Linked DNA regions of Cricetulus griseus. The protein of the gene in region 2 interacts with the protein of the main gene of each other region in a pairwise test. Links are inferred from orthologs where the notes say so. Each region holds a gene or a part of one and is shown on either strand. Other genes may lie near its edges.

What was found.
Region 1: the proteins of Creb3 (region 2) and Cds2 interact in a two-hybrid assay, tested with the Homo sapiens proteins (2 studies listed by BioGRID and IntAct). The two-hybrid records come from large-scale screens. The link is inferred for Cricetulus griseus from reciprocal best matches to the Homo sapiens genes CREB3 and CDS2.
Region 3: the proteins of Creb3 (region 2) and Tmem140 interact in a two-hybrid assay, tested with the Homo sapiens proteins (2 studies listed by BioGRID and IntAct). The two-hybrid records come from large-scale screens. The link is inferred for Cricetulus griseus from reciprocal best matches to the Homo sapiens genes CREB3 and TMEM140.
Region 4: the proteins of Creb3 (region 2) and Fam3c interact in a two-hybrid assay, tested with the Homo sapiens proteins (2 studies listed by BioGRID and IntAct). The two-hybrid records come from large-scale screens. The link is inferred for Cricetulus griseus from reciprocal best matches to the Homo sapiens genes CREB3 and FAM3C.
Region 5: the proteins of Creb3 (region 2) and Tm4sf4 interact in a two-hybrid assay, tested with the Homo sapiens proteins (2 studies listed by BioGRID and IntAct). The two-hybrid records come from large-scale screens. The link is inferred for Cricetulus griseus from reciprocal best matches to the Homo sapiens genes CREB3 and TM4SF4.
Region 6: the proteins of Creb3 (region 2) and Abhd16a interact in a two-hybrid assay, tested with the Homo sapiens proteins (2 studies listed by BioGRID and IntAct). The two-hybrid records come from large-scale screens. The link is inferred for Cricetulus griseus from reciprocal best matches to the Homo sapiens genes CREB3 and ABHD16A.
Region 7: the proteins of Creb3 (region 2) and cytochrome b-245 chaperone 1 interact in a two-hybrid assay, tested with the Homo sapiens proteins (2 studies listed by BioGRID and IntAct). The two-hybrid records come from large-scale screens. The link is inferred for Cricetulus griseus from reciprocal best matches to the Homo sapiens genes CREB3 and CYBC1.

The regions. Positions count from the first base shown.
Region 1 is NC_048599.1:46,320,216-46,324,167, forward strand, and holds the start of Cds2 (phosphatidate cytidylyltransferase 2), read right to left. Parts: upstream 2,801-3,952; 5' UTR 2,553-2,800; coding exon 2,499-2,552; intron 1-2,498. UniProt on the Homo sapiens protein: Catalyzes the conversion of phosphatidic acid (PA) to CDP-diacylglycerol (CDP-DAG), an essential intermediate in the synthesis of phosphatidylglycerol, cardiolipin and phosphatidylinositol.
Region 2 is NC_048595.1:99,953,772-99,957,739, forward strand, and holds the start of Creb3 (cyclic AMP-responsive element-binding protein 3), read right to left. Parts: upstream 2,801-3,968; 5' UTR 2,641-2,800; intron 2,554-2,640; 5' UTR 2,545-2,553; coding exon 2,398-2,544; intron 2,311-2,397; coding exon 2,154-2,310; intron 2,073-2,153; coding exon 2,002-2,072; intron 1,884-2,001; coding exon 1,794-1,883; intron 1-1,793. UniProt on the Homo sapiens protein: Endoplasmic reticulum (ER)-bound sequence-specific transcription factor that directly binds DNA and activates transcription. Plays a role in the unfolded protein response (UPR), promoting cell survival versus ER stress-induced apoptotic cell death.
Region 3 is NW_023276806.1:193,071,926-193,076,069, forward strand, and holds the start of Tmem140 (transmembrane protein 140), read right to left. Parts: upstream 2,801-4,144; 5' UTR 2,629-2,800; intron 2,581-2,628; exon of another isoform or gene 2,375-2,580; intron 2,349-2,374; exon of another isoform or gene 2,139-2,348; intron 1-2,138.
Region 4 is NW_023276806.1:204,885,848-204,889,347, reverse strand, and holds part of Fam3c (protein FAM3C), read right to left. Parts: intron 1,808-3,500; coding exon 1,749-1,807; intron 771-1,748; coding exon 720-770; intron 1-719. UniProt on the Homo sapiens protein: May be involved in retinal laminar formation. Promotes epithelial to mesenchymal transition.
Region 5 is NW_023276806.1:94,014,721-94,018,921, forward strand, and holds the start of Tm4sf4 (transmembrane 4 L6 family member 4), read right to left. Parts: upstream 2,801-4,201; coding exon 2,627-2,800; intron 1,911-2,626; coding exon 1,821-1,910; intron 1-1,820. UniProt on the Homo sapiens protein: Regulates the adhesive and proliferative status of intestinal epithelial cells. Can mediate density-dependent cell proliferation.
Region 6 is NW_023276806.1:231,619,161-231,622,660, reverse strand, and holds part of Abhd16a (phosphatidylserine lipase ABHD16A), read right to left. Parts: intron 2,297-3,500; coding exon 2,182-2,296; intron 2,092-2,181; coding exon 1,990-2,091; intron 1-1,989. UniProt on the Homo sapiens protein: Phosphatidylserine (PS) lipase that mediates the hydrolysis of phosphatidylserine to generate lysophosphatidylserine (LPS). LPS constitutes a class of signaling lipids that regulates immunological and neurological processes.
Region 7 is NC_048600.1:133,705,601-133,709,898, reverse strand, and holds the start of cytochrome b-245 chaperone 1, read left to right. Parts: upstream 1-1,498; 5' UTR 1,499-1,742; exon of another isoform or gene 1,743-1,753; intron 1,754-2,267; 5' UTR 2,268-2,303; coding exon 2,304-2,388; intron 2,389-3,891; coding exon 3,892-3,933; intron 3,934-4,298. UniProt on the Homo sapiens protein: Functions as a chaperone necessary for a stable expression of the CYBA and CYBB subunits of the cytochrome b-245 heterodimer. Controls the phagocyte respiratory burst and is essential for innate immunity.

The DNA.
Region 1 (3,952 bases), on a different chromosome or scaffold from region 2:
GTCTATTAACAAGACAGTTTTGCAAACACAGTTTAGCAACTGTAACATTTTGAGGAATCTTTCAAAATTGTTCTTTAAAGAATTGACCTGAAAACTGTTCTTTGGATTCTTGTACTATGAAGTAACAGAGTTCAAATTCCACAATTCATTTCCCTTAAAAGGCACAGAAACATAAATAAAAACAAACCTTTTTTTTTAAATTAAGATTTATTTTTTCTTTTAAACCAGGCAGTGGTGGTGCATGCCTTTAATCCCAGCACTCGGAAGGCAGAGACAGGAGGATCTCTGTGAGTTTGAGGTCAGCCTGGTCTACAAAGTGAGTTCCAGGACATCCTGTTACACAGAGAAACGATGTCTCAAAACACACACACACACACACACACACACACACTACTACATATATTCATAAAAAATAATGCATCTCGCTGTTTCCTAAATGTATTTCCCATGCATAACTGCTATATTTTAGGGAGCATACTCCTAGCAGACCTCACAGCCACAAGCCTCTTTCATTGCACATGTGGTTTAAATGCACTTGTAATTAATAAGGCTGGACAGCTCCTCAGATCTGCTCTATATAAAATATGGATGTGAATGGAAGAATCAACTGACACTTTATGTTTGGGGAATGGAGCCAAAAAGCTGGGTGTGGAGTGTGAAAAGTGCTTCACTACTAACATTACAGTTGTTTTGTCTTATCTAGTTAAGTATAGCTAACTTTCAGTGTGTGACTCTGTGTGTGTGTGTGTGTGTGTGTGTGTGTGTGTAGCTGTAGTCCACCAACTATCAGGCTTTAAAAAAAAATAGAAAAAGAAAAGAAAAAACAAGGTTTCTCTATGTAGCCCCGGCTGTCCTGGAACTTGCTCAGATCAACCTGCCCCTGCCTTTCCTGGAACACTGGGACCAACTCACGCACCACCACACTCACCCCTCTAGGCATTCTTTCTTCTCCCACCTCCTTGGTCCAGAACCCCCACTAACTTTAAGTATGCAGTCACCCTTAACTAGGCAGGGTCACCCACAGTGTAGCCTTCAAACTCACCAACAAGTATCCAGGGTGAATACAGCATTCTGCAGGGCCATACCCACGGGGAAGATTAGAGATTTGTACTGTCTTTGCAAGATACTCCTAAATCAGGACCTCAGCCCTAACCTTTCTCCAAAGGGATAGAGTTCTCCTCTGATGACCCACTGTCTACAGGAGAAACAAAGTTATTTAAGCCCTCTATCTTTCATCTAAAACATTCTTCCTAGTAAAATTACTGTTGGCATGCTGTCACCAAAGCTTATGCTTATTTCCTTCCTGATGTTCCCGCTAACCAATTTAAACACAGTCAAAAGGTACAAGCTGGCTGTGCGGCTCATGCCTTTAACTCTAGCACAGGGTAGGCAGAGATGGATGACGTCCAAACCAGCTAGCAGGGCTTCATAGAGAGATTCTGTCTAAAACCAAACAAAAGTTTAGAGGATAAAAGTGGGGGTAAAGTGGGTGATGGTTGCCCACACCTTTCATCTCTGCATTCGGGAGGCATAGGCAGACAGATCTCTGGGTTCGAGGCCAGCCTGATCTACGGAGCGAGTTCCAGGGCACCAGGGGTACACACAGAAACACTGTCTCGAACAAACAAAAGGATAGTAAACTCTGTCAACTATTAATCAGAGAAAGGAGGCAGATGCTCCAATACCGAAGACAAGCTAGAAACCATCAGAAGAACCCTTATTTCCGTATCAGCTTGTGGGCCTAAAAAAAGCATCAGCAGGTCATCAGCTGGCAATCCCTGAGTTAACCAGTCCCCACCACTCTGGTCCAGGATCCCTCAGTCTGTTCGCACATCACTGAACCTGACAACTGCTAAGTCGAGAAGCGCAAATGCTGTCATGCAACGTCCACAGTAACACAACCACTCTCCACCTTTCTCAACTTCTCCACACAAACCTTGCACTTTCAATCAAAGGAGCGCCCCCACATTGGTTGTGTCCCTGCCAAAATGGCCTCCTCCTTACCTTCCTCCTTTACCCCATCAAAGCTCACACTTGGCGCAGTAAACAAACCCACCATTGGGAGCACACACCTGCTCATTAACCGGACCGCACGTGGCGTGAATCAAGACGCCTCCCTGATAAAAACCCAACATATTGAATGTTTTAATCAAGTTCAAAAGATGATTTTAATCTCCCAGGGGACAAATGCTATGGCCTGAGTCCTCCCCGCTCCCCATTTAACAGCAGCATTTTTAAAGCGAGAGGTGAGGCTACATCGCACTCACCCGCTCTGTGGGGTGTCCAGTCTCCACACCAGGAAGGCCTAGGGAAGGCGTGGACCCCCCAGAGCTCACGCGCTACTCCCCGCGCCCGAGTAGCGCCCGCAGGCGGCTGTCCCCACGAGCGGAGAACGCTCGCCGACCCCCTGCGCAGCTCCGGCCTGGTGCCGAGGGCCCCGAAAAAAGGTCAGAGGGCGAGGCTGCCGGCGCGCCCCCCGCACTTAACGACGCCACTACCTTGTCCTCCGGCGGTGCGTCCTCGCGGAAAGACCTCTGCCGTAGCTCGGTCATGCTGAGGACCCCGGCACGATGTCACCCAGGGCGAGCAGCACGGTGGCCGTGGAGATGGGCTCAGCGCGCACGGCCTCTCCGCGGGCCCGAGCGCCTCGCAGCCCCGCAGTGCTCCGCACAGCCCCTGCAGCCGCGCCGCTAGCCCCGAGCCCGTGCCCGCCCAGCACCGCTGCCGCCGCCCTGGCCCGAAGAGCCGATGCGCTGCCTCCCTAGCGGCCGCTCGCTCCTCCTCCCGGGCAGCTGTGAGCCAGCGCGCACGCGCACCGCCGCCATCTCGGCCCAGAAGCCTAGACGCCAGGGGGCAGGGCAGCGGGACGGGGGTGGGGGGGATAGGCGGAGTTAGACGCGGTCATTGGACAACAACGGGAGGAGGCGGGAGAAGGGAGCACAACGAACCAATGGGCGCTTGCGTCCTACCGCGTGTGCCCGCGCAGGAGATAACCCGTTACTGGGGGACCACAGCGCCTCCCGGCTGTAAATATTGGCCAGTAATTGACGTTCTCAGCTTAGAGATCAAGTGGAGAGACCAGGCGGACCTCTGAACAGCGGGCATCATAGCAGAGGTGAAACCCGAACTTCAAGCACACGTTGTCTTGCCAAGCTGTGGTTGTTAGTAAATTAGGAGCACTGATTCTGTCTAGGCACAGAGCTCAGAAATCGCTTTGGTTGGTTTGTCTCGTTCAAATCATAGGCCTTTTTAAATCCCATGACAAGTGAGAAGACAGAGACAGGTGGATCTGATCGATGTAGCCTGTTCCAGAGCTACCCAATGAGACCTTGCACACACACACGCCAAAAAAATGGAAATGGATATAATTTTTGCAAGTAAGATCATCCAAAGTATTATAAATTTCTTGTCTTAGTGTTTGTTGCTGAAGATAGAATTCAGGAGTATGCTATTCTCGCACTTGATTTTTTGGAAGCTCTTTTAGCTGACAGGAGCGTTTTCTGTGGCTCCCCTAGATCCCTAATATAGCCTATGCGGTTGATAAATGGATTTTAAACTTTTAAAGGGAAAGTATTTAGCTAGCAACTACAAATTAACTAGTAAGAATTAGAACCCAGATGTTGGTTACCAGAATCATGCTGTAGCCAATGTTCACATTGGCAGCCTGAACCCAGTAACACCGGTATTACTCCAGCATTGCCCTGGTGCAAACCAGGGGCTCCCTGTCTTAAGCTATATGTTAATGTAACAGTAAGAGGTCTTCGCCACAGGGAAGGTTCAGTTTCTTAGCGATTTTGTTCTGAGCTGTGAGTTTTCAGAAAATATCTGAAAAGGGCATTAAATAGTACTGGTCTCTGTGAGTATATTCTGAAGTTCTTGTTAAGATAATTCAAAGTGACAGTAAAATATTTAGACAAACTTCAGAACCTCTGAACTCTGAATTTTGTTTCCT
Region 2 (3,968 bases):
TGCCTGGTGCCCACATAGGTCAGAAGAGGGAGTCAGATCTCCTGGAAGTGGAGTCACAAACAGTTGTGAGCTGTCATATGGGTGCTGAGACTTGAACTTGGGCCTTGTGAAAGAGTACAAAGTGCTCTAAACCACTGAGGTCATCTTTCCAGCCTCTAATTTAGTTAATTAAAAAACAAATTCCTCCTAATCTAGGTGTGGTAGCACATGCCTGTAATCTCCACACTTGGCGGGGAGAGGGAGGAGATCAGGACTTCAAGACCATCCTTGGCTAGAGTTTGAGGCCAGCCTGAGCTACATAAGACTATGTCTTATGTAACAATAACAAAAATCCATCCTTATCCTAAAATCAACATCAATTTTCTTATAATTTCTATCGGTAGGATTTACTTAGAATTTTTGAGGCTATATAGAACATATCTTTACTTTAAAGCACTTCAACTTTTTTTCAGAAATTGAAACTAAATAAAGTGTTAATTCTCATATTCTCTGATACAGCCTAGGCACTAGCCAAGAATGATGTCATTCACTTGTAATCTAGTCCTCAGGAGTTAAAAGCAGGAGGATCAATTCAAAGGCATTCCTTACCCACTACATAGTCTGAGGCCAGCCCAGCCTGGGCTCACAAGACCCTTTCTCAACAAACAGGGCTGCAGGCTGTAGCTCAGTGTTAGAGCACTTTATTCAAATCTCAATGGGTGGGGGACTAAGGAGGAAAAGACAGTTACTGTACTAGGGACAGCACCACTGATGATAATTTCCAAATTCTATTTTCCTTCCTACTAAAACTACTGTATCGCTCACTCATCTTGTAATGGTGGCAGAGGGATAGGAGACAGTGTCTCACGTAGCCTCTGCTTGCCTAAACTTGGCATGACGCTAAGTCTGGCCTTTTAACTCCTGATTCTCCTGCCCTAAATAAACATCTACATAACAAAAGATACCATGAAAACATTAAAAAGGCAAATGACATAAAAATGTTTACCATAAAAGCTAGATGTAGTAGTATATGCCTGTAAGCCCAGCACTCAGGAAGTAGCTTTGAACTCGTGAGGACCTTTCTGCCTCTGCATCCAGAGTGCTAGGACTGTGGAGGTGTGAGCCACCATGCCCAGCTTTGACAACTGTTATTGTTAGACTGGTTCAGCCTCCCAAACTCTACCGTGAGCAAGATATGGAGTACCACGACCACAATGAAATCTGTAAGAGCCCTCCATTTGTCGTCCTTCTCAAGGCTCTATTCTCATGTTAGTTGATATTCAAAAATTATATTTTTGTATGTGGGTGTGGGCTTGTTTGGAGATCAGAAAGCTCGTAGGAGTCAGTTCTCTCTTTCCATCATGTGAGTCCTGGGGATAGACCTGGCAGCAGGGCCTTTCCCAACTAAGCCACACACTGGTAATTTTGAAAGGAACACCACAATTTAGGTAAGCCCTACAGGGTCAAGAACTGCCCTAGAATCTAGCCTATTTATCTACCTGCCCCAGCTTCCCAATAGCAGCAAGTGTGCTTAGATTAGATTCTGACCTCAGTCCTTTTTCAAGTTATTGAGATGAAATAAACTGAATTTGCCTACTTGGGTCATGTAATCCCCCTCTAGTTTTGTTGTTGTTGTTGTCATTGTTGTTTGCTTGCTTGTTTTTGTTTGTTTGTTTTGTTTGTTTTTTGAGACAGGGTTTCTCTGTGCAGCCTTGGCTGTCCTGGAACTCAGAGATCCACCTGCCTCTGCCTCCCAAGTGCTGGAAGGGGCCAGGCTGCCCCTCCAGCTTTTACTCCACCAATAGGAACCTTACCTTTGTGAGAGGAAGTGCTGAGGGCAGACTAAGCCCCTCCTTCTCCAAGAGCTTCTTCTCTTCCTCAGTCAGCATCAGCCTAGAAATCTCCTAAGGTTGTAGGAAATAGTGGAGAGCAAAAGTTGCATGGGGATGTGGGAGCAGAATGGGAGGAACCTTGGCCTCAGTCGAGAAAGGTGGGATAATCCTGAAAACTCAAGTCCAGTACCTGCTCTGTAACTGTATCCCCCACAGGCATTGGAGTCACGCGGAACCCCTCCTTTTCAAAGCTCCCAATATCTGCAAAGTAGGGAGAAAAAAGTAGGGCTAGCTAGGCCAGTGAGCTCTTTCCTCCCCCATAACTTAACATTCCACACTCACCTAGATCTATGGACACATGTTCCTGTGGGAGGGAGTAGTTGTGGTCATGTCGAATAGAAGAGATGGAGGAGCTGAGAACATCCAGCGATGCCGAGGGACTGAGCAGAGAGCTCAGTAAATCCTCTACCTCCCAGTCGCTCAGTGCTTGCACAGAGTTCTAACAAATTCACAGGCCTTGATTTATCTTTGTACCCTTGGGTCTCACGGACGTCGCTTAGCTTCCCCACTCAGAACGCCCACCCACCTCGGAAGGCGGCAGCTCCAAGTCCAGCGGAGCCTCCACATCCTGCTCGGTCGCAGCCCACAAATCTCCGTTTTCCTCTAGCAGGAAGCCCAGCAGGTCCTGATCACCAGGATCCAAAGCTAGAAGGTCCTGACCACCAGGATCCATTTGGGATATCTATAGATAGAAATCCCTGTACACAGATGCAATCTCCGAACCTTAGACACGACCCCTCGGTCTGACTGTCAAATCGGCTCGACTTACCTTAGTCACTCTACTCCGGGCTACAAGGCTGAAGGCCTGCGGTCACACTAAAACCACAGCCACCTCCCAGCTTCTGTTCTACTCAGCTTCCAACACAACGGAAGTGATGCACATAGCCCCAAGGCATCCTGGGACTTGGAGTTCCTTCCAACTCGGAAGTGGCTCGTGTGCTGCGCCACGTCCCGGGGGCTATGCAAATTATAGGGACGTCCCTACAGCTTCCCACACCCCAGGGCGGGGATTCTAGGGACCCGGCTCCGCCTTCGCCGCGAGCTAGAAAAAGGAAGAGTCTAAAAGGGAACACCAGCTTGGTTCGGGCGATCTCTCCAGCGCGCCGCACCCTCGCTTCCTGCCGGGGAGGGGCGGCCAGGCTTTGCGGGCGCCCGAGCATCGAGACCTGCGGCTAGAGCAGCTTCCTGAAGTCTTTGCGACCATAGAGCGCGGGCCCAGGGCGCCGCCGGCGGGTGGGAGACATTTCCAGGACGGAAGTGGACCAGAGTGTCGAAGGGAGGGCGAGGCCGGAGCCCCAGAGCCACCCGGAGAACGAGCGGGTAGCGGGCCGGCGGGCGGGGCGCAGAGCCGGGCAGCGCAGGTAGGCCAGGCGGGCCGGGCCGGAGCTTCTAGGTGGGGCTGCGGGGCCAGGCCAGCCCGGGAAGCGGCGGGCGGGGCCCCCGATCCTCCTGCATATCCTGTGTCCGGTCCTGTTGGGGAGGTCAGCGTCCAATGCGTTTCGTTTTGGGTTTGGAATTAAGCTAGCCGTGTGTCGCGAGGCAGGCCCCTTTCGTGGGAGCAGGCTGTTCTCTCCCTCGACTAGGTTTGGGGGGGAGGGTGAGGAATGGGGTGGCATTGAGGCACTGGGCGGGGATGGCCTTTGGTGTTAGCAGATAGTGAGTATGTGGTTAGGAAAGCTTTGGGTGAGTTTGGGATTAGGTGCGGTCGGGTTTAGGAAGTGAGGATCCCTTCAGAGGTTACGAAGCTCGAGTAAATTTTAAACATTAGCTGCTTTAGTCAAGTCTGTTTCGTGTAGGTGACATTTAGTTTGAGGTCATTATTTTGTTTTCTGGAGGGATCAGCATGATCAGGATACCGAATCAGGTTAAGGATCAACCACAGGAATTGGCTTAGAAGCCCGTTTAGGTACTAAAGGCCATTGTCAGGGTTAGTATTAAGAATAAACAGTGAAAAGGTGAATTAAAAGCAAGTAAAAAATGAGCTTTAGGATTAGGAGTCAGTATTTAGGGTAAAAGTTGAGGGATTTAGGCCTAAAATTAAAAGCTGGATTAGTATGGGTGTCTGCTATGAAAGAGATGAAATGTCAGAATGGGGAA
Region 3 (4,144 bases), on a different chromosome or scaffold from region 2:
GCAAACCACTGAAGCAGCTGACTAAAAGGCTCATTTAATATTACTTGTTATTTGTCCCACTGTTTTGTTGGCTTATTAGCATTGGGTATGAGCCAGCAGGGAACAAACTTTGGAGGTAGAAAACCATCCTTAACGATGAGCGCCCGTCTCCATCACTTTGCATTGGCAGGCCTCCCAGCAGGCTTATCAACTGCTGATTCATGCATGGGCTGGGGACCAGGCTTCCCAGGACCTGGTTCTGATTTTTGAGCTCTGCCACTCTTCCCTGCAATTATGAGATGGGCCACCCCCTTTCCCAGGCTAAAATTTCATCCCTTGACCCCACTAATGATGCATTTGGGAGGTCCTTGAGCCAGGGGTCTGAAGGACCAAAGACACACTGGAAAAACAAATACCCCCTCCCCACCCCACAAACCTGTGCTCATAAGACATACACCACATAGATTTTTAAGGAGATGATTTGGAGAAGCTTTGGGAAGGAAATAAACAGGGCAAAGTGAGGAAGAGAAACCACAGGTAATTGTTCCCTATGAGAGGGTCAGGAGAGCCATATGCACCAGAGATACTAGGTTTGAAGGAGGCCTGGAAGAGCCTTCCATTAACTAATGTTACAGTGGCTGATTATTAACAAGTCCAAAAAAGAAAACAAGAAACCCCAAACCATCTCAGGACATCATGTCATGCCATACGACAAAATCAAGTTCACATGGATTCAAGAATGAACCCATGTGAAATGAAATCTAGAAAAAAAGAAACTTTGATTTCTGAATGAGAAAACACATTCTGAACTTAAAAGCAAATCAAAACTGCAAGGAAAATTACAGAGTGAGTCATTTAAAGTGGAGATTTCTGTGCACCTGTAATAAAAGCAATACACAATTAAAGACAAAGAGCATGGAAAGAATCTGCAATAACTATGAGGCGATTAATCGGCCGAATGTATGGAAATGTTCATGCAAACATTAAAAAAAAAAAACAACACTGCATGGCATAAAGTGGATGAGGGAATACAGGTACTTCACAAGAGATTGTAGCTAACATGAAAAAAAAAAAAAAAAAAAACACCTTTCCTAATGCTGCCAAGGAATGCCAAGTAACAACCTCTGTCTTTCTTGCTAAAAACTATAGATAACACTCTTGGTGACATTCCAAATGGCAAGACAGACTTTCTAACATGGTGACTCTGAATTTGAAGTATGTATTTTGACCTAATAACCCACTGTTTTAGCCTTATCTCAAGCCAGTATCTGGAATGTAACCCCTGATTTATACACAGGATGGGTTATCCCAACACTCTGCACAAAACTTGAATTCCCAACATCAGACGTCAGTTATCGCACGTCGGGGTGATGAAGCAGCATGCAGCTCTTAGGAAGGCCAACAGATGTGGTGCGAAAGACGCCCAGGAGCCGGGACTGAGGAATTAAAGTTCCAATGCTGGCAACCTTTGGTATTTCTGGGTGACGGCTACACTAAAATAGTCCCCAAATTATGTGCTGTTTGTGAAAAAGGGACATTTATAAAACAAGCCACCGTAGCCTTAGTAACTCAATAATGAGGGAACCAAAATAATAAGTTTAGAAAAGGGTATGAGTGAAATAATATTCCAGCTACCAAATCTCAGATCCGAGCTTAAAAGACCCGGTAGAGGAAGAAGATACTGAAAATGTGCTTGCTTCAGTTGTCCTGAAGAAAAGAAAGACTCCCCCCTCCCCGTTTTCTCTTCATTCCTTGTTGAACAACTCCTTTGATTTTACAGATTAAAGAAGTATAATGGAAGGTATTAATCATCCCAAATTTAAAAAACAAAAACAAAAACAAAAACCCAAACTCTCAAGATCTGTTCCAAGGGACAGCCTCCAGCCCTCCACCCCCACCGCATGAGTTTGCTTTGGGGGTTGAAAAGGAGTCTGTAACAACACAGAGTCTTAAAGTCTCTTAGACCCTACACTTCCTTTTTAGCCAAGATCACGGACCTTTCCTTGGCATTTTCTGAAGTCTTGGCATCAGTTTAGTTGCTGCTGTAGTGACCTGGTTTTGTCTCTGTCTGTCTGTCTGTCTGTCTGTCTGTCTGTCTGTCTGTCTGTCTGTCTGTCTGTTTCTGGAGAACAGCGTGTCCTGGAGCCACAGATATTTACCGGTCCAGGCTGTGCAAAGCCCCGGCTACACGCAGTCAGCCTGAGTGTTTCTAACCATCCACCAGCGTTACCTCCTCCATGGTCTTTGCGGCAGACACAGCGATGCTTGGGAGCATGGGGTGGGACAGAGGTGAAAGTGTAGATCGCACCCCGGGGAGCGGGGAGGCCACCAAGCAAGACTTTTCCCTTTGCGTGTTGCTAGAATCTCAAGCGTGTGAGCCTGGGTTGCTACTTACGAAAACCAAGGCCAGACAGAGCCCACCGAGCACTCATCAAAAGCTGACACAGGAAATCGGCTTCGGGGAGTGGATTCGCTCCTGCGCTCCAGGAACTAGGGCAGAGGAGAAGCTGCAAGCAGCTAGAGCCCGGCCTGCGCAGCGCAGGGCAGCGCAGCGCAGCGGTGTCCAAGTAAACAACTCTCTGAACTTTGGTACTTTAGTGCTGACTGATGTCACTATCAGCTGATTTCACTTTCGTTTTTTTAACTTGCCTGTGTCTTATGACTTTTCAGAAACCAAGAGCGTAAACAACTTCTTGTTGCTGACCGGGACACGTGACCCAAACCACCCGATCAGTGTGCCAGGTGAGGGTCGTGATTGTCCCACACGGTCGCTTCCGAGGGGAGCCTGGACGCCAGCTTCCTGAGCTCCAGGGGATGTGACTCCGATAAACACGACCTGCAATCTTTCTAGGCCCCGACCTTAATCATGTGACCAACCTCCCAGCCAGCGCAGCAGGTGGGACCTGGGTCCCCTCATTCATTTGGAAGGTGACTTTTCTGGGCTGGAAACTTTGCCATTAGCGATGTAACGCTCAACAGTTGTGCAGCAACAGCAACAGTGCGATCCCATTTCGAACTAAAAGAAAAAGAAAGCTTTCAGTTTTGAAATCGCAGGGAGTGTACTCTTGGCCTTCTTTCCTCGGGTGATCGCGGGAACTTTGGAATTGGGCAAGCTTGGGAAAGACAGTAGACCGCTCCCCGATAATGCTAAATTCTTGGGTTTCCCTTTCTTTTGCTATGGCACGCTGCCCCCAACTGGAGTTTTACTTCATCCTAGGGATTCCCTTTGCCTCTGTGCTAGGTTAGATTTCTTATTTTTCTGCTCAAAAGCTTTTCTCCTCCTTGGCTTATTCACTTTTGTTAGAATTAATCTCTGGTGATTTCTTGAGAAACGAGGAACACTAAAGGTAATTTTTTTAAAAGAGTTTGCCAAACTGATATCTTTATTTTATTCTTAATCTTGTTCAAAGTTGAATAAAGCATAGCATTTTTGGTTAAACGAATTTTCCTATACAGTGTTGAGGCTGGATTCCCTGCTCTCTACCTTCCCTATTGTTGGGAAGTTCAAAGCTGGCCTCCTTCCCATTGTCCTTTTAGCCTTTTGCTTTTAAAAGAAAGTGACATTTTAGTGAGGTTTTGGGAAGAAAAAAATAAATGTGCAACCATTTTGCCATTTTCAACTGCAAGTCAAAGTCAACCCCGCCCAGGTCCCATGTTTCTTCCTGTCTTTTGTTGTGACGCAGGGTCTTACCATGTAGCTCAGGCTGGCCTCCAACCCTCAGAAATCCTCCCGCCTTTGGTTCCCAGGAGCTGGGATTACAGACCATGTCTGGCTCCTTCTCCTTTTCCCTTTGTTTTCATTCCAGCAGGGCTAGCTTGCTTGGTTGCTCACTGGTTTTCTGATAATCTGCCTACCCGCTCCATGATTAAGCTTTTAGCTTTTAATAAGCAACTAGCCTCTGGCTGCCAAAGCCTCCATTGCTTAAGCATTATTTTTGTCCTTGAACTTGTCCACACTCTGTTAAACAAGTTTACTTGGGGAGAGTTTCAGAGTTCTTTGCTCTTAAGGTACGCTTTTCCTGAGACCTAGTATCTGAACTACTTCTGTGGAGCTGCACTTAGGGACAGTGTTGCTTCTCTTGACATGGCGGTTGTTAGAGTAGGCAGGTGCTGGTGAGGCAGTAGTCTGGTCTTTTCAGCTTGGTAGTTCGCACATGGAAAGTCT
Region 4 (3,500 bases), on a different chromosome or scaffold from region 2:
AACTCCAGCTCCAGGGGTCCAGTGCCACTTGGCTTCCCAGAACCTGTACCCATGTGAACATAACTACCTGCAGATGAGCATCTACACACACTTAAAATAATGAAAATAAATATCTCTTCTTTCCTTTTTTTTTTTTTTTTTAAAGAAACCTTTCTCTTTGGGGTAACATTCTTTGGGGGAGCCAGTATTTGCTTCAAATTCACCAGTATTTGATAGTAACCTCTTCCTTTCCCTAGAACCTCCAAACATGGATGGGAAAAATATCTGTGGGCTTGTTCTGAGTCCAGCAAATTACAAATGTTTTCCCAAATGTTTGCTACTAATAATAGCAGAGTTCAAAGGTAGACATAGGATGGATTAGTAGGATTATTACTTTTCGAGAACACGAGGCACTTCACGTTAAAACTGTGTGAAGTGGTTATACTGATCTTCAGAGGATTCTGACTTTCAGGCAGAAATTGAAACCAACTCAGGGCTTTGAGATAGTTGTCCTGTCAAAACATGGGATGCTAACATCCTTCAAATCTCAGTGGAATCTCAATCACAGACAAGTTTCCCACCATAATGAAACAGCATGCAAACACAACAGCCCACTTAAATATGGCCGGCATGTAGTAAGATGGAGCAAAACAAAATGGAAATGCAAACGGTGCCATAGTTAGTCCTCTCTGCAATGGGTTCAGCTGCAGCAGCAGGAGCACAGGGTAAGTCACACATACCTCCTCCCCACATGTCAAAATATTTGGTGTCTAGTACCTCCCCTGTTTTTCCTGAAAGAGACAGAATACGACATATTAAATCATACAACTGAAATATCAGCATAGCAACGAGTGACACGCACTCATCAGCAGAAGGAACTGCTTCTGGAACTTATGCTCTGACTCATACACAGAGCTGTGCACCACTGACTTCAGATCAGTTCTGTGCCACAGGTCACTGCAACTTGCGATCATCAGCCCGTAAGAATTACCAAACCATAACCTCTACAGCAAAGAAATCGTCTACTTAAATCAGAACAACCATCTATAATAAACCTTCTCCTTCCTCCCCCCTCCCCTGAATAAAATTGACACTTATTTTATCTTTAAGAACCATTAAACAGAAGAATAGACATTAAAGGTTTTACTTGGGAAAAAGGAAGTACCAAGTCATATGACTACCACCTATGAATGGAGCAAAGAGAGCTTCTCTCTGCTGGGGGTTGGCTGAGCTGCTGGCAGATTTGACTCCCCTGGGGAAGGTACAGGAAACATGTATCTGGAGAGGCACAAGCGGTGCATAAGCTCTTTGTGGTCGGGATACTTAAGATTTACTTTTCTAACACTCACTACATCCAGGACTCAGTGAACTTATCGGCTCAAATGAAGCTCTGAGTACAGCATGGATAGTATTGAGAATGTACAACAAATCATGACACACCCTTAATCTTGTCTACTTGTCTTCATATGAAGTATGAATTCTGAAAGATGCAGCAAGACTGCTTCCATTTTGTGTCAAATTGGTGCTTGTAATTTCACAAGAAACTCGCCCGCCACACAATGCACATGGCTGCAATCCGCCCAAGAATACATGCTACCAAAAAGTAGATTCAGAGTCTCCATCTGTGGTGGTTTGGACAAGAGGGTATCCTTGTTGGGACAGCTTCATTATTGAGTGGTGCTTTCTACTCTGATGCCAAGGACAAATTTTAGTGTGGAGCATAAGTATACCCATTGATTACACTGGTCAAGTACAATGATTATTCTTACCATTTACCAAGGCAACATTGATTCCTCTTCCAACATTGTTCTTAACACCACTCATCAAACTAAAGGGAAAGAAGTCAAGACAAACTCTTAAAATTAGATAGTATATGGAAACACGTCACAGAAATACAATGTAAAAAAGGGTATCATACACATATCAAACACTCAACTCAGCAAATTAAAAGCTTACTACATCAAAGACAGACTTACGTTGAGTCTACTATAATGTCAACTCAAATAACTTCATGCTATTAAAAAAAATACACACAAAGGTACAAGGGTGCTGGAGAGATAGTTCTGTGGTTAAGAACATGTACTACTCCTTATCCAGAGGACCAACACTCAAGTCAGGAGACTCACAACCTCCTCCAACTCCAGGGGATCTGTTGCCTCTGGTGGCCATCCATACCTGCACCCATGTGCACTTACCCAGACACACACAAATTAAAGTAAATTCATTAAAATAAAAATATTATGGCTCAAATGCCACTGAGTTACTGCTCTCTCATACTGTGCAGTGCCACCACAGCCTATCCTTTAGGATATGGGCATCACAAGACTCAATCTCCAGCACCGTCACGAAGCCAAAGAACACGCCCTCTCTTCTCCATCTCCCACAGGGTCACTGTGGTACCGTGACATGCAATGGAGTCATAGTCTATCCAGACATTTTAAAATCCTAAACTAGAGGAGTAACGGAGCACTGTCCTGCCCGTGTTACTTCACTGTGACTAGTAACATAGGTTTTCTCTGTACTCAAAAGGAACGCTGTACTTGCCAATTACCTCAGCACAGGCATTGATGGGCTGCCCAGATAACCAGCGTGGCTGCAGCTTACAGATGGCAGTGTCAGATGACAGTGTGGGATGGAGGGCACGGTGGCACACGGGCTTGCTACCAGTTTATTTCATTGAATATTAAGTCAAAGTTTTTAGCTAATGTTACATCCATAGAATTCAAGGTATTAGCAACTTCCCCAGGAGTGTGTTGGAAGAGGGGCACTGTGCTCACATTAGCATACTGCAAATCTCCCTGATAGAATGTGTAGCACACACATTTTGCAAATGAAATGTAGACTACTTCATCACACCTTCCTCAGAGTCAACTGATTCTCACAGAAGGTGCCAAATGCTTTCCACCCAACTCATATCTGTAACTGAACTATGGTTGCAGGGAATATAATTCTAACAATTACTGAATGACATACTCATTTATGGGAATGGTAAGGCAAAGGAAAATCTAAAATAATGACAAGCTTCATTTATCTGGTGATGAGAATGTCTTTACTAAGTCAAATAAATTTTCAATGCTGGCCAGTTACTTTCTCGTTCTGTTGTTTACAGTATAATGACTACAAACCAAACAATGTCATGGAATGCATCCAGGTCCCATCTACATAAAAAACATTTCCCCCTCTTTTTCATGAGTCTAGGTCTTAGTTTCAAACCTTTCTATTAAGGGACAGTAATCACTAAAAAGTTTCTATAAAGGGGTCTACAAAGGGATGCACTCAAAAACAGTAAATCAAAAGAAACTTCTTAAAATGTTTTTATTTACAAATAAGTATTAGTGAATTTCCTTATTACATTTTTGCATGTGTTTAGAATGTATTTTGTCATCTAACTCTTTACCCTTTCTCACCGCCTCCCCACTCCTGCTCCCCCCTTCTCAGTTACTCCTCTCAAACAGAACTTTAAAAGATGATCATAAAATTCAAAGTAAACTGGGCAGTGGTGTCACACACCATTAATCCCA
Region 5 (4,201 bases), on a different chromosome or scaffold from region 2:
GGAGCCCTGGGTGGCGATATATATTGACCAGACCAAATGTTTCAGAACATGCTTGTTCAACTGCACCGGGAACAACATGACTTTCTTGCTGTACTGTGTACTTCATTTAAATCAAATGAAATTAACATTTTGTATAATACTTTGAACAGTTTCACTTTTTACTTTAGTGACAGAGAAACCTAGAAACCCACAAGCAAGCCTGAGCACCTGCCTGTCTGCTTATTGTGTAATAGTCAGTCATTGTCTAGTTTTGCCCAGCATTAGAAATGCATACATAGATTTCTAAGATATGATTTTTATATTTTCATCCAAATTCCTTAATTGCTATTTTTTCAAGCCGCCATCGCTAACTTATTTGTAAATGATCTGATGGGAAAATGCACTTCCTTTATAGTCAATCATACGAAAATATTGCCAAGTATATACAACATTTGACACAATTATATCAAATGTGTTGTTGCTATTTTTACTCTTTGTGTAAAAATGCTGAAATGACAATTTTTAGTACTTACGATGCTTTTTACAAGAGATATTCTATAAGTGATAAGATGTCATACAAAAAAAGCCTCAGTGTATTATGCACAGAGCACAGTGGCCTTCTGTGTGTACTTGGTAAATACCTTCTTTCTTAAATAAATGGGCAGATGATGGCAAGAAAGAAACATCAAGGTAGTTCTGTTTAAGAATGGACAGACAAGAATTTAAAGCAGGCTTAGCTGGTGCAGGAAAGCTCCAGCTTTCTCATCATCTTAGCTACTCATCATCGAACCCAGGGTTTACACTCATCATATGTTTGTCTCATCATATACCTAAATGCTTAATATTTTTTGAGCCAAGTGTTTTATTTATCTATATCACTATTTTGAAAGAAAAGCTGAAATTGTTAGCAAACATGAACATAGTGTTATTAAGTTTTAGTCACCTAATGTTGCTTGTGTTCTTAGAGCCTTGGGTTCTTCCTTTTTCAGAAGGAAGGCTTGAAGGTTTAGAAACAGCAGACTTATCCCCATCAAAATAAGGATTTTTTTTCCTTCATAGAATAAAAACAACAGGAGGATAAGTTAAAGAAAACATTCTTTGTTGTTGGACACACGTATCTATACAGCAGGGTTTGGCCCATAACTAGGGAATTCTGATCCAGTCCAACTCCCTTATCTTACACTTGGTGACTTGCCCAGTTGCAGAAATGGGACCTGACCTACATGCCAGCATTCCTTCTGCTCCCCTGGGAACATCAATGCCTCCCTAGTCTCCAGTTCACTAACTAAAAGATGGATGGCCTCATGAAACAGGAGAGGAAGCTGAAATCCTGAGGCAGATTCTGGGTGGCAGTGGGAAATGCTGGGCCTCCAGAAATAGTGCCCTTGGCTGTGGTAAAGACAGGAGTTTAGTGAGCTATTAGGGAGGGGAGATAGCATCTTTTATCCTGCCCCAGGTCTCCTTTAATGATGAGACAATTCAGAGCCAGCAGAAAGATACCATTTGTTCAAGTTCTCATTGCTTCTTAGTGACAGAGGGAAGTGTGTGGCCCCACCTCTGCCTGCTCTGTGTGGTGTCATGTCACCCCAGTTCTAAAGCTTTGTCATCGCAGTGGACTTGTAAAACTGAAATATCTCTATACCTCTAAGTATGAAGGTTGTAGAATTTAATATATTTAATCTTTTTATTCTGCACCAGCGAGAATCAGAGCTTAATCATGTAGTCGATGTCCCAAGAGTCTGGCTTGGAGCTGGTTGCTTGTTCAGCACACCCATGCTGCCCAGCACAAGCCAGCTGTGAACTCCAGAGTAATTCTGGCCACTGACCCCATGACAACTCACCGCAAATCGCTTCCCACAGCTTGGGTTGCCACAGCATCCACAGCAGTCATTGTTTTTCAGGCCCAGGAACACCAGTGCGGGGAAGATCATCTGCCAGCAAGAGAAGATGTGCTCAGAGTGTCTGGGGTTGAAGGGAAGCCCACAGTTTTTTTGTTTTTGTTTTTGTTTTTTCCTGGCCAATGAAGACCTCAGGTCTCAGAGGCTTAGGTGGGCAGGCAAGACCTAACAGCTAGCGTGACTCGTAGGTCATGTTTTGAGTATGGGGGCTCCATTTGGCCTGACTGACCAATGTCTGTGAGGAGATTTTAAGAGTTGGCATCCCTAGTTGTCATCTAAAGGGTGGGTTAGGGCAAAGAAAAGAGACATAGTGTCATACTACAACCTGAAGGTCCCGCCCATATTGGAAACAAGGGGTAACGAAATGGTGAGTTCCTGAATGAGAGCTAATCCACAGCTTCTGTACCTCTGCATTCTAACTCGTCTATTTGGATAAAGCACTGTGTTTCGTTTATAATTCTTATCGGCACGATTTTATTGGAGTAAAGCGATTGAGTGGCTGTTAGCTTGATTCTCTGAGCTCAAATATCCTATGGTGATTCCAGCCCAAGCTTGGGGGATGAACTGCTTAGTAAACCAAGATGTCCCCAGCCACTAATACGAAGGGGAAGTATACTAACTAAGGCACTACTTTTCAGTATGTAAAGGTTGTTAGCTCCTGAATGGCATCCGTGTACTAAGAAGCGAATGAAAGAGGATGGGAGCAGGGGAATTATCTTTTAAGGGAATATTAAGGTGTCTCTACTCACCAAGACTCCGCTTCCCGCTATTCCTCCGAAGTACCAGACCTCTTCGGAAAGGTGGCTGTTGTCATCTATCACCTTCCCTCCGGGAAAGAACAACAGGATATTCGCCAGGAGGCCAAACACAGCCAGGGGAATGAGAGTGCCCCCCAGGCACTTGGCACAGCCCCCAGTGCACATGATGGGGTGGCACAGGAAAGCACTGAGATCAAAGACTTCTCACCACCTGCTTAACGGGTCTTCTCAGCGATTTGGCAGTGAGTCCCAGTAGCTAAAATAAGAAATTTAAAATAAGAAATTTAGGACCAAGTGTCAGAGCTTTTGGAATGGTGTCCTTGGAGTTGATTCACTTCTCAACTACTGCAGGCCCTCGGTGGCGATGGGCATTTATATCCCTGACCCTATGTCTTTTTTTTTGCACCCCCATAAATGAGATTACGTTCTATGCAATCGCTCAATTGTTTTGCCATGGCGACCAATAACCTCTGTTAATAATCCACCAGCACAGACAAGACGCTCAAGTTGTTGCAACCAGAGAGAAGGCTGGGACAGGCAGTGTGTAACACTGTCCCTTTAATATCACCATGTCCCTGGCCAAATGAAGAAGTATTCCCCCAGGCATTACATAAATCACTCTCATAATCCACTACACTAACATCCTGATTAACGCTATGCCTCCCAAGCCCTGAGTGATCTGCCTGGCTCTTCTTTGGTCTAGTTCACAGAAAGCCTGAAACACAGGCTGATCCAGAAGGGCTTGTTTTCCTCAATACAAAAGTAATTTGATGGCCTAATTGAATAATGTTGAATTCAGGCCTGGGTTTTTTTTTTTTTTTTTTTTTGCATAAAATCAGAACAGCTACTTACTTCATTGCCCGACTGCTGTATTTCTTTATTTGTTTAGTCAATTAGGTAATTGAATTATGTCTCCTTCCCAACACGCCATGGAATTAGCAAAACCAGTTTTCCTAATCGGGTTGTTTAGTTACTTTGTACAGGAATAGAAACCTGTGTCTAAAGAGCAAGGCAAGTGAGCACTAGGAGAAGAAAGACGTGGCCAGCAGAGGCAGAGGGGATGTGAGTGAACACAGCTACAGGGTAGGGGGAAGTGAAACACATCCATCCATACTGGAGGTTTTGTCAGCTTCCGGAAACACATTCAGTGATTAGCTTACTTTGTGTCACTTGAGATGCCTTAGCCACACTTAGAGCATGTGATGCATTGCCTTGCCCTGGTGCTGTGTGATGGAGCATCTGCAGGACTGCAATGTGGGGAAGGGATTCTTTCTTGCTCTTCACCGAGAGTCTAGTGGTCAAAACTCAGGGCAATGAGTAAAATGTTTAGGGTTTCAAATTGTTGCTAAATAAAAAAACAAATGACATATAATTGTGATGACACTTGTTCCATGACAGAGATGGTTAGAGAAACAGTGAATTGTGCTCTGCCACTAGGGAAGCTGGCTGTGGGAAGGCTTGTAGAAGGGCAGACACAGAGATTCCTTCTGAAGAGTCTAGAAAATGTGCCTTGGTTGTTCTGTATTTACACTGAGAGAACTCAGGGTCAGTGTGAGACCAAACAAA
Region 6 (3,500 bases), on a different chromosome or scaffold from region 2:
GCCACCATCCACCTACTGTTTGTTGTGGGGCAGGGTCTTGTGTGTCCCAGCCAGGCCTTGACTTAGACTTCAGATCCTCTGCCTCTTCAGGGCTGGGATGACAGTGGGGTGGGGTGCACACACCACAGTGCTTTATCCCCAGCCTGCAACTCACCGTGTAGCCAAGGAAGAGACCCTAAACTCTGTGTGCGTGTGCGTGAGTGCCCATGTGAACTGTGGCACCCCTGTGGAGGTCAGGAGAGAACCTCCATTGTTACTCCTGCCTTCGACTTTGAGGCAGGGTCCTTTTGTTGTTTGTGGCTTTACTACATGAGCCAGACTGGGAGAGAGCTTCCCAGGGTCCTCCCAGGCGTCCAACACGCTAGGGTTTATACATGTTCTGGAGATCAGAACACAGATGGCAAAACGTCACCCACTAAACCATCCACCCAGCCCTGGCCTTGAGTTCCTGATTCCCCGGCCTCCACTGTGAGTGCTGGGATTACAGGCATGCACCCCAGGTCTCAGTATATATGAAGCTGGGATGAAACCTAGGGTTTTATTCATGCTAAGCAAGTCTACCACCTGAGAGCCTCCCCATGACCCTGCCCTCCACCTGAGAGAGAGCCCTCCCCATGACCCTGCCCTCCACCTGAGAGAGCCCTCCCCATGACCCTGCCCTCCACCTGAGAGAGCCCTCCCCATGACCCTGCCCTCCACCTGAGAGAGAAAGAGAGCCCTCCCCATGACCCTGCCCTCCACCTGAGAGAGAGAGAGCCCTCCCCATGACCCTGCCCTCCACCTGAGAGAGAGAGCCCTCCCCATGACCCTGCCCTCCACCTGAGAGAGAGAGAGAGAGCCCTCCCCATGACCCTGCCCTCCACCTGAGAGAGAGAGCCCTCCCCATGACCCTGCCCTCCACCTGAGAGAGAGAGCCCTCCCCATGACCCTGCCCTCCACCTGAGAGAGAGAGCCCTCCCCATGACCCTGCCCTCCACCTGAGAGAGAGCCCTCCCCATGACCCTGCCCTCCACCTGAGAGAGAGCCCTCCCCATGACCCTGCCCTCCACCTGAGAGAGAGCCCTCCCCATGACCCTGCCCTCCACCTGAGAGAGAGCCCTCCCCATGACCCTGCCCTCCACCTGAGAGAGAGAGAGAGAGCCCTCCCATGACCCTGCCCTCCACCTGAGAGAGAGCCCTCCCCATGACCCTGCCCTCCACCTGAGAGAGAGAGAGCCCTCCCCATGACCCTGCCCTCCACCTGAGAGAGAGAGCCCTCCCCATGACCCTGCCCTCCACCTGAGAGAGAGCCCTCCCCATGACCCTGCCCTCCACCTGAGAGAGAGCCCTCCCCATGACCCTGCCCTCCACCTGAGAGAGAGAGAGAGAGCCCTCCCTATGACCCTGCCCTCCACCTGAGAGAGAGAGAGAGCGCCCTCCCCATGACCCTGCCCTCCACCTGAGAGAGAGAGAGAGAGCCCTCCCCATGACCCTGCCCTCCACCTGAGAGAGAGAGAGAGAGCCCTCCCTATGACCCTGCCCTCCACCTGAGAGAGAGAGAGAGCGCCCTCCCCATGACCCTGCCCTCCACCTGAGAGAGAGAGAGAGCGCCCTCCCCATGACCCTGCCCTCCACCTGAGAGAGAGAGAAAGAGCCCTCCCCATGACCCTGCCCTCCACTGGCTTCCTTTCAGCTTTCCTATGAGGACGTCTTTGGGTGGAGCTGGGAGAGGGCATTATTCTTTTTCCTTTTTTGAGACAGGGTTTCTCTGTAGCCCTGGCTGTCCTGGAAATCATTCTATAGACCAGGCTGGCCTCAAACTCAGAGACCCAGCTGCCTCTGCCTTGTGAGTGCTGGGATTAAAGGCGTGCGCCACCACCTTCTGTTTTTTGGAGGTGTGGGGTGGGAGTTATTCTTAACTGTGGTTCCACAGCAAAGGCTCTGTAGCACCAGGACCTCCAGAGTCTCTACCTCCCCTACCACCCCCTTTGGCTCCCTGCCCCTTCTCACCAGCTTCTGCCCCTGGGGCTCAGCTGTCCCCCGCCGGTCCACAAACATGGTGTCAATCTCGTTACCATCACAGGCGAGTAGTTTTGCCCGGCGCCCATTACACTGAGTAAGGGAGATGCAAAGACCAGGTCACGAGGGGCAGGAGGCCACATCCCTAGGAGGACAGGGCAAGCGGCAGGTAGGAAGCCTCACCTCTTCCACCAGTCGGGCCTGGCCCTGCAGCAGCACAGGCATGAGGGCCTTCTGGAGCAGGTACACAGAGCCTGGGTACAGCATCCGGCGCCCCAGGGTGTGTGCCACCAGGTAGCTGTGGGGACACGGGTTAGTGAGCCCAGCCCCAGGAGGGCCCAGGGACTGATTCCAGCAGTCGCAGTTGGACTCCAGGCCATGCTAACCTTTTCCTCTGTCAGCCCTTGGTGAACCGTGTGAGCCTGGCACTTTCCAAGCTTCCCTATATGATGTCCATTTTAGGAATGGACATACAGCTGAGTGGCAGAGGGCTTCCTAGAACGGTGAGCCCCTGGGTTTGAACCCCAGTGCTATGAAAACAAACCCAAACCATTTTCTATTGCGGTCCAGTACAATACAAATACTTGGATGCCTCTAGACTTATAAGGGGTTATGTCCTGAAAATAGCTGCAATTGCCTGAAGAGGCTGCAATTGCACTCGACTCCCACAACCTGATGAACAAGAGAGTGGAGCCGCCCAGAACAGTGAAGAACACTCGTGGCTGATGAGGGCTGTAGCACTGCAGGACATGCTGCCCATTGCTAGGCTGGGGAAAGAATCCAAAACTCAAAAGTTAAAACTATAGCAAATTAGAGTCTGCTTGGATATAATTCTGTGAGTTTTACAAGATTATTTCTAAGTACAATAAATAAATGCAGTTATCAAATAATTCTGTTTATGTGTAAAATGCAACTTATTAAAAGTTCTCAAGGGCCACCAAGATGACTCACTGGGTAAAGGACAACCTGAGTGCATTCAATCCTTGGGTCCCACAGGGTAGGAGGGCCCTACACATACATATGTAAATAAATGTATTTCAAAGCCCTCAAATAGGACCAGGTGATCACTGATCAGTGGTGGAGCACTTGCCTAGTACACACAAACCCCAGGTCCTCCCCCAACACCATTCTAAAACAAAAACTCATGTTTGCAATTCACTACAGCGATTTCCATACTGACTAATAGAGCCGGGTACAGCAACACACACCTGTACTCCCAGCACTTGGGAGGATCAGGAACTCAGGGCCAGCCTCAGCTACACTACAGCCTGGGCTGTATGAGGCCATACCTCAAAAAATAAAATTAAGACTCAAATAGGTCAAGATCTATAGCCTGAGAAATACCAAACTGGACCGCACTCCTGTCAGGGCAGAGAGTTGGCTGTTGTGTTCACAGTGACCATACCTCCCACACTGGAGCTGCCCAAGGAGCTCAGCAAGCATCTACTGAGTGTGTGGACTCCTACAGACAGGAAAGATGTGGCGGGTGCCGTTGTATGTCC
Region 7 (4,298 bases), on a different chromosome or scaffold from region 2:
TCATAAACCTCTGCAGCCACTGAGCTTTGCTGCTCCCCTTCCCCTAGCTTCTCTTTTCCTATAAATCCCTGCCGTTTTGGCTACTCGCTGTCTTGGTCTCTTGGTTCTCTCTGCACTGTTGTTGGTCTTCTTTTCTCTCTCTCTTCTCTTCCTCTCTTGCTCTGCCCCTCTCTCTTTCCTGTCATGGCTCAGTCTATTCTGCTGGCCATGTTCAGTCTGGCCTCTTCCAGAAGCCCCTGGCTGTGTTTTCCCTTATATCTATAATGAAAACCTCTTCAAATTTCATTTATTTTACATTGTTCGTAAAATTGTAAAATTCAGGTTGTCAATGTTTCCCACGCTGTCCTAGTGTAACCTCTTTATCATTTCCTTAAAACTCCAGAACCAACCAGGGGTGGTGGTGTACGCTTTTAGTCACAGCACTCGAGAGGCAGATCTCTTGGAGTTCGAGGCCAGCCTGGTCTACAGAGGGAGTTTCAGGACAGCCAGAGCTACACAGAGAAACCCTGTCTCCATAAGTCAATAAACAAACAAACATAGATAAATTGAAGGGAGCAGGTAAAAGCACCTCAAATAGATAGATGGTAGGCAGGCAGACAGAAGACAGACCGACAAAGGGAATAGGCAAAAGCACCTTGGCCAGATTTGACTTCAGACTCCATTTTACCTGTAGGGTGAGACAAAGTTCAAGCTGAGAACCTTCCAATATATGACTTACCTCCGTAAACTACAGAACTAGTCATTATGCGTCTCTAGCTCTCTAGAAACATGGCTATTACTAACAACAGAAGGAACAAATAAATTTGATTGCTTGGACTAAAAGCTTGCATTGTATTTGTTGACAGTGATGAATACTCAAGGAAGCCCCTAATCTCTAAATCCTTATTGGTGAAAATTGTAACTGTAACTTGGCAACCAATGTTTGTGATTTTTGTGCTTAAACACTTGCTTCAACTGGCATTTGGGGTGGCCGTTCAGCCCCAGAGTCTTTTCTGTGGCCCGAATGATCCATCAGCCCCCTCTCCTTTCCCCCTTCTTCTTCTTCTTTTTTTTTTTTTTTTTCTTATTTTTTGAGACAGAGCTTCTCTGCCTAGCATTGGAGGCTGTCCTGGAACTCGCTCTGTAACCCAAGCTGGCCTCGAACTCAGATCTGCCGGCTGGGAATGAAAGCGTGCGCCACCACCGCCCGGCTCCTTTTGTGCTGCCCGTGTTAAATCTTGCCTTGAGGTAACCTCTTGTGTCTACCTGGGTTGATTCACACCCTCGGACCACAACAAAATGAATAAATAACTAAACAAATAGATGGCGACCCATCGCTAAGGCTCCTAAGCCGCTGACGCCGCGCTCGGCGGGCCCCAGCTTAGACTCCGGCCCCATCGACCGAGCCCGCCCTCCAGCGCCAGGCCCCGCCCCGCGAGTGCGGAAACGGACGCACAACTCCGGAAGGCGTCGTCACTCAGGCTCCGCCCCTCGGGAGTCCCCACCTGGCTTTAGCCCGGAAGTCCTGGGGACTGAAGTCCGGAAGTTCGGGAGGCTGTCCCCTAGTTCCCTCCCGCTAATTCGGTGCGAGTCGGTTGGTGCCCGCGCAAGTGTGTCCCAAAGCTTTTCTAGTTCCGTCTCGCTGTGCTTCCCGTTCTCATGTTCGTGCCCTGTGCGGGTCACTGTTCGCGGACCTGGATCGGGCGTGTGCACTGTGCGGAGCGAGCATAACGGGCCGCTCGTGGAGCTTGTTGGTAACTGAGGTCAGAGGGAGGCAAGTTGTGTGCCTAACGGGGATTCCAGAGCATGCAGGGCACGATGCTTGATTGCACCTGGGAATCCGAGGAGCCACTCAACACTGGGGCTTTGGGCGTTGTCTCCAGGGGTCTTGCCACAGTGTCCCATTAATTCGGATGCATTTGGGCCATAGTTAGTATGACGGCAGAAACTCAGACACAGGGCACTTTCAGTTCCCTTTCTTGATGGGAAGAGGAGTTTCTGGACGATTCGGCTAAGGTGCCGGAAGCCTGAGAGTTGCTGGAGGCTAACAGAGCAACTTCAAGACGAGGATTCGGTTAAGGAAAGGGTTCCCAGATATGACTGTGGCTTGGAAGTAAGACCAGGCCTCACTTTCTGGGCTGTGTTGTCCCTGTGCCCATGTATAATTGTGAGTTGAGACAGTCTCGTGGATAAAGGCCGCTGTGGACCTTCCCCTGGCCTCCTGTTTAGACTGATGAGGTGCTGCCTGTGTGCAGTGGTTGCAGGCTTCAGCTGTGTGTCTTTCTCAGCCGGGTCTGCTGTGAGGTGAAGCCCAGGTTCCAGAGATGTACATGCAAGTGGAGACACGAACCAGCACCCGCCTCCATCTGACGAGGGCTCCAGGCATCCGGTCTTGGTCCCTGCTGGTCGGTAAGACTTATGTTTTTCCCAAGTCAAATCTTAAGTGATGGGAACAGTTTCTTCGTATTCTATTGGAGGTTCTTGTCAATACAAGACCTTGGTAAAGCATGCTTCATTCACTTTGGTGTGCCTTCCCTTTCAGAGGGCATGCAGGGTCCCCTTAACAGACATGCACTCCCAGCCTGTCTGCTTTCTTGAGGTCACTAGGTTTTCTTCCATGTGACAGGTGATCATGGGTTCACATTTCTCTTCCTCCCTGTCTCCGTCCTCCTGGACTCTGTCCCCCATCACTGCCTACCAGAAGTGTCTTGCATCTCATGAACAGCTGCACTTGTGTTGGCTGGGCTGTTCAGAGTCTGAGGTGAGGTACTGGCTGTGACTTCAGCAGCAGGTTCTCTATAGTCCTTTATGATTCGTGAAGGTCCTCATGACATTCTGCATACTGTGCTCTGTGTTGTATTATCTCTGTGTAGTCTTGTCTTTGCTCCTCATCACAGGTAGGCAATACTGACATCTGGGTCATTGCATTTTTCATTTGATTGCAGACGAGTCTGGTGAATGCCATGGATAGCATAACCTGTTTTTTTTTTATTTAATTTTTTAATTATGTAAGTGTATCTATGTATGGGTCTGTGCAGGTGCATATAGGTGCTGTGGAGTCCAAAATAGTGTTACATCTCTGGCGCTGAAGTCACACGAGGTTGTGAGTGGCCTGCGGGTGCCAAATGTTGGACTTTCTTTGGGCTGTCAGTCCACAAATAACGAAATGGAAATTTATTATGAAAGTTTGGCTTTTAGCTTAGGCTTGTCCCCAACTACCGCCTATAACTTAAACTAACCCGCATCTATTAATCTGTGTTCTGCCATGTGGCTTTTTTTCTATAAATAATTATTTAAGTTTATTTTATGTGCATTGATATAAAGGTGTCAGATTCCCCTGGAACTGGAGTTACAGACAGCTATGAATTGCCATGTGGGTGCTGGGAATTGAACCTGGGTCCTTTGGAAGAGCAGCCAGTGCTCCAACTGCTTGCTTCTCCAGCCCCCATGGCATGTGTTTTTTTCTACATCTCTTCCATTGTGTTTGTCTGACTTGGTCCAAATCTTGTTGAGGTCTCTGAGTGCCTAAATTCATCCCAAGTTCCTTTCGCTGCTCAGAAGTACTGCCTATTCTCTCCTGCATAGCTGTTGGCCATTCAGCTCTTTATTAAACTAGTCACAGTGACACATGTTCACACTATGTGATAAAATGGCCCACAACAGTGCTGAGAACTGAACTGGGTTCCTCTGCAGTAGTATATATTCTTAAACAATAAGCTATCTTTCCAGTCCCCCCCTCCCTATTTTTAAACAAACTTCTTGGCTGTGTCCCCAACCCTGCACTAGGTAGCTTCTACCTGCTGCCCCTGAACAAGCTATCCTGCTGTGAGACAGGCCTGCTTTGGGGGGCTGCAGCACAAGAAGAAGGGGAACTCTCCTTGACAGTTAACAAGATAATCCCTCTCTCCACAGGAATATTATCCACTGGCCTGGCTGCTGCCTATTATAGTGGAGGTAAAGTATGTTTTTCCCATCAGCTTCCTTGTACTTGGAAATAAACAAAAAGCAGAGAGCATTCCTAGTGTGTGTAACCTTTGGGGTGGCCTTTGCCTTGCCTTGTGTGAGAGATGACTATAGTCCATGTCCTGTACCTTAAATTTCTTCCTGTTATAAAGTACTCTCGGAAAGAAGCTCTTTAGTATTTATTTGCCTGCCACTTTGCTACAGGGAAAAATCGTGTGTCTTACCCTCCATGACAAGGTATATAGATCTACCTGTCTCCTAGGTGGACTTAGGCAGAGTTTGGGATACACATGTCACCAACGACCCAGGAAGGTACAGGAACGCAGTTGACTAAGCCTGTAACCTGAGATGAAGGA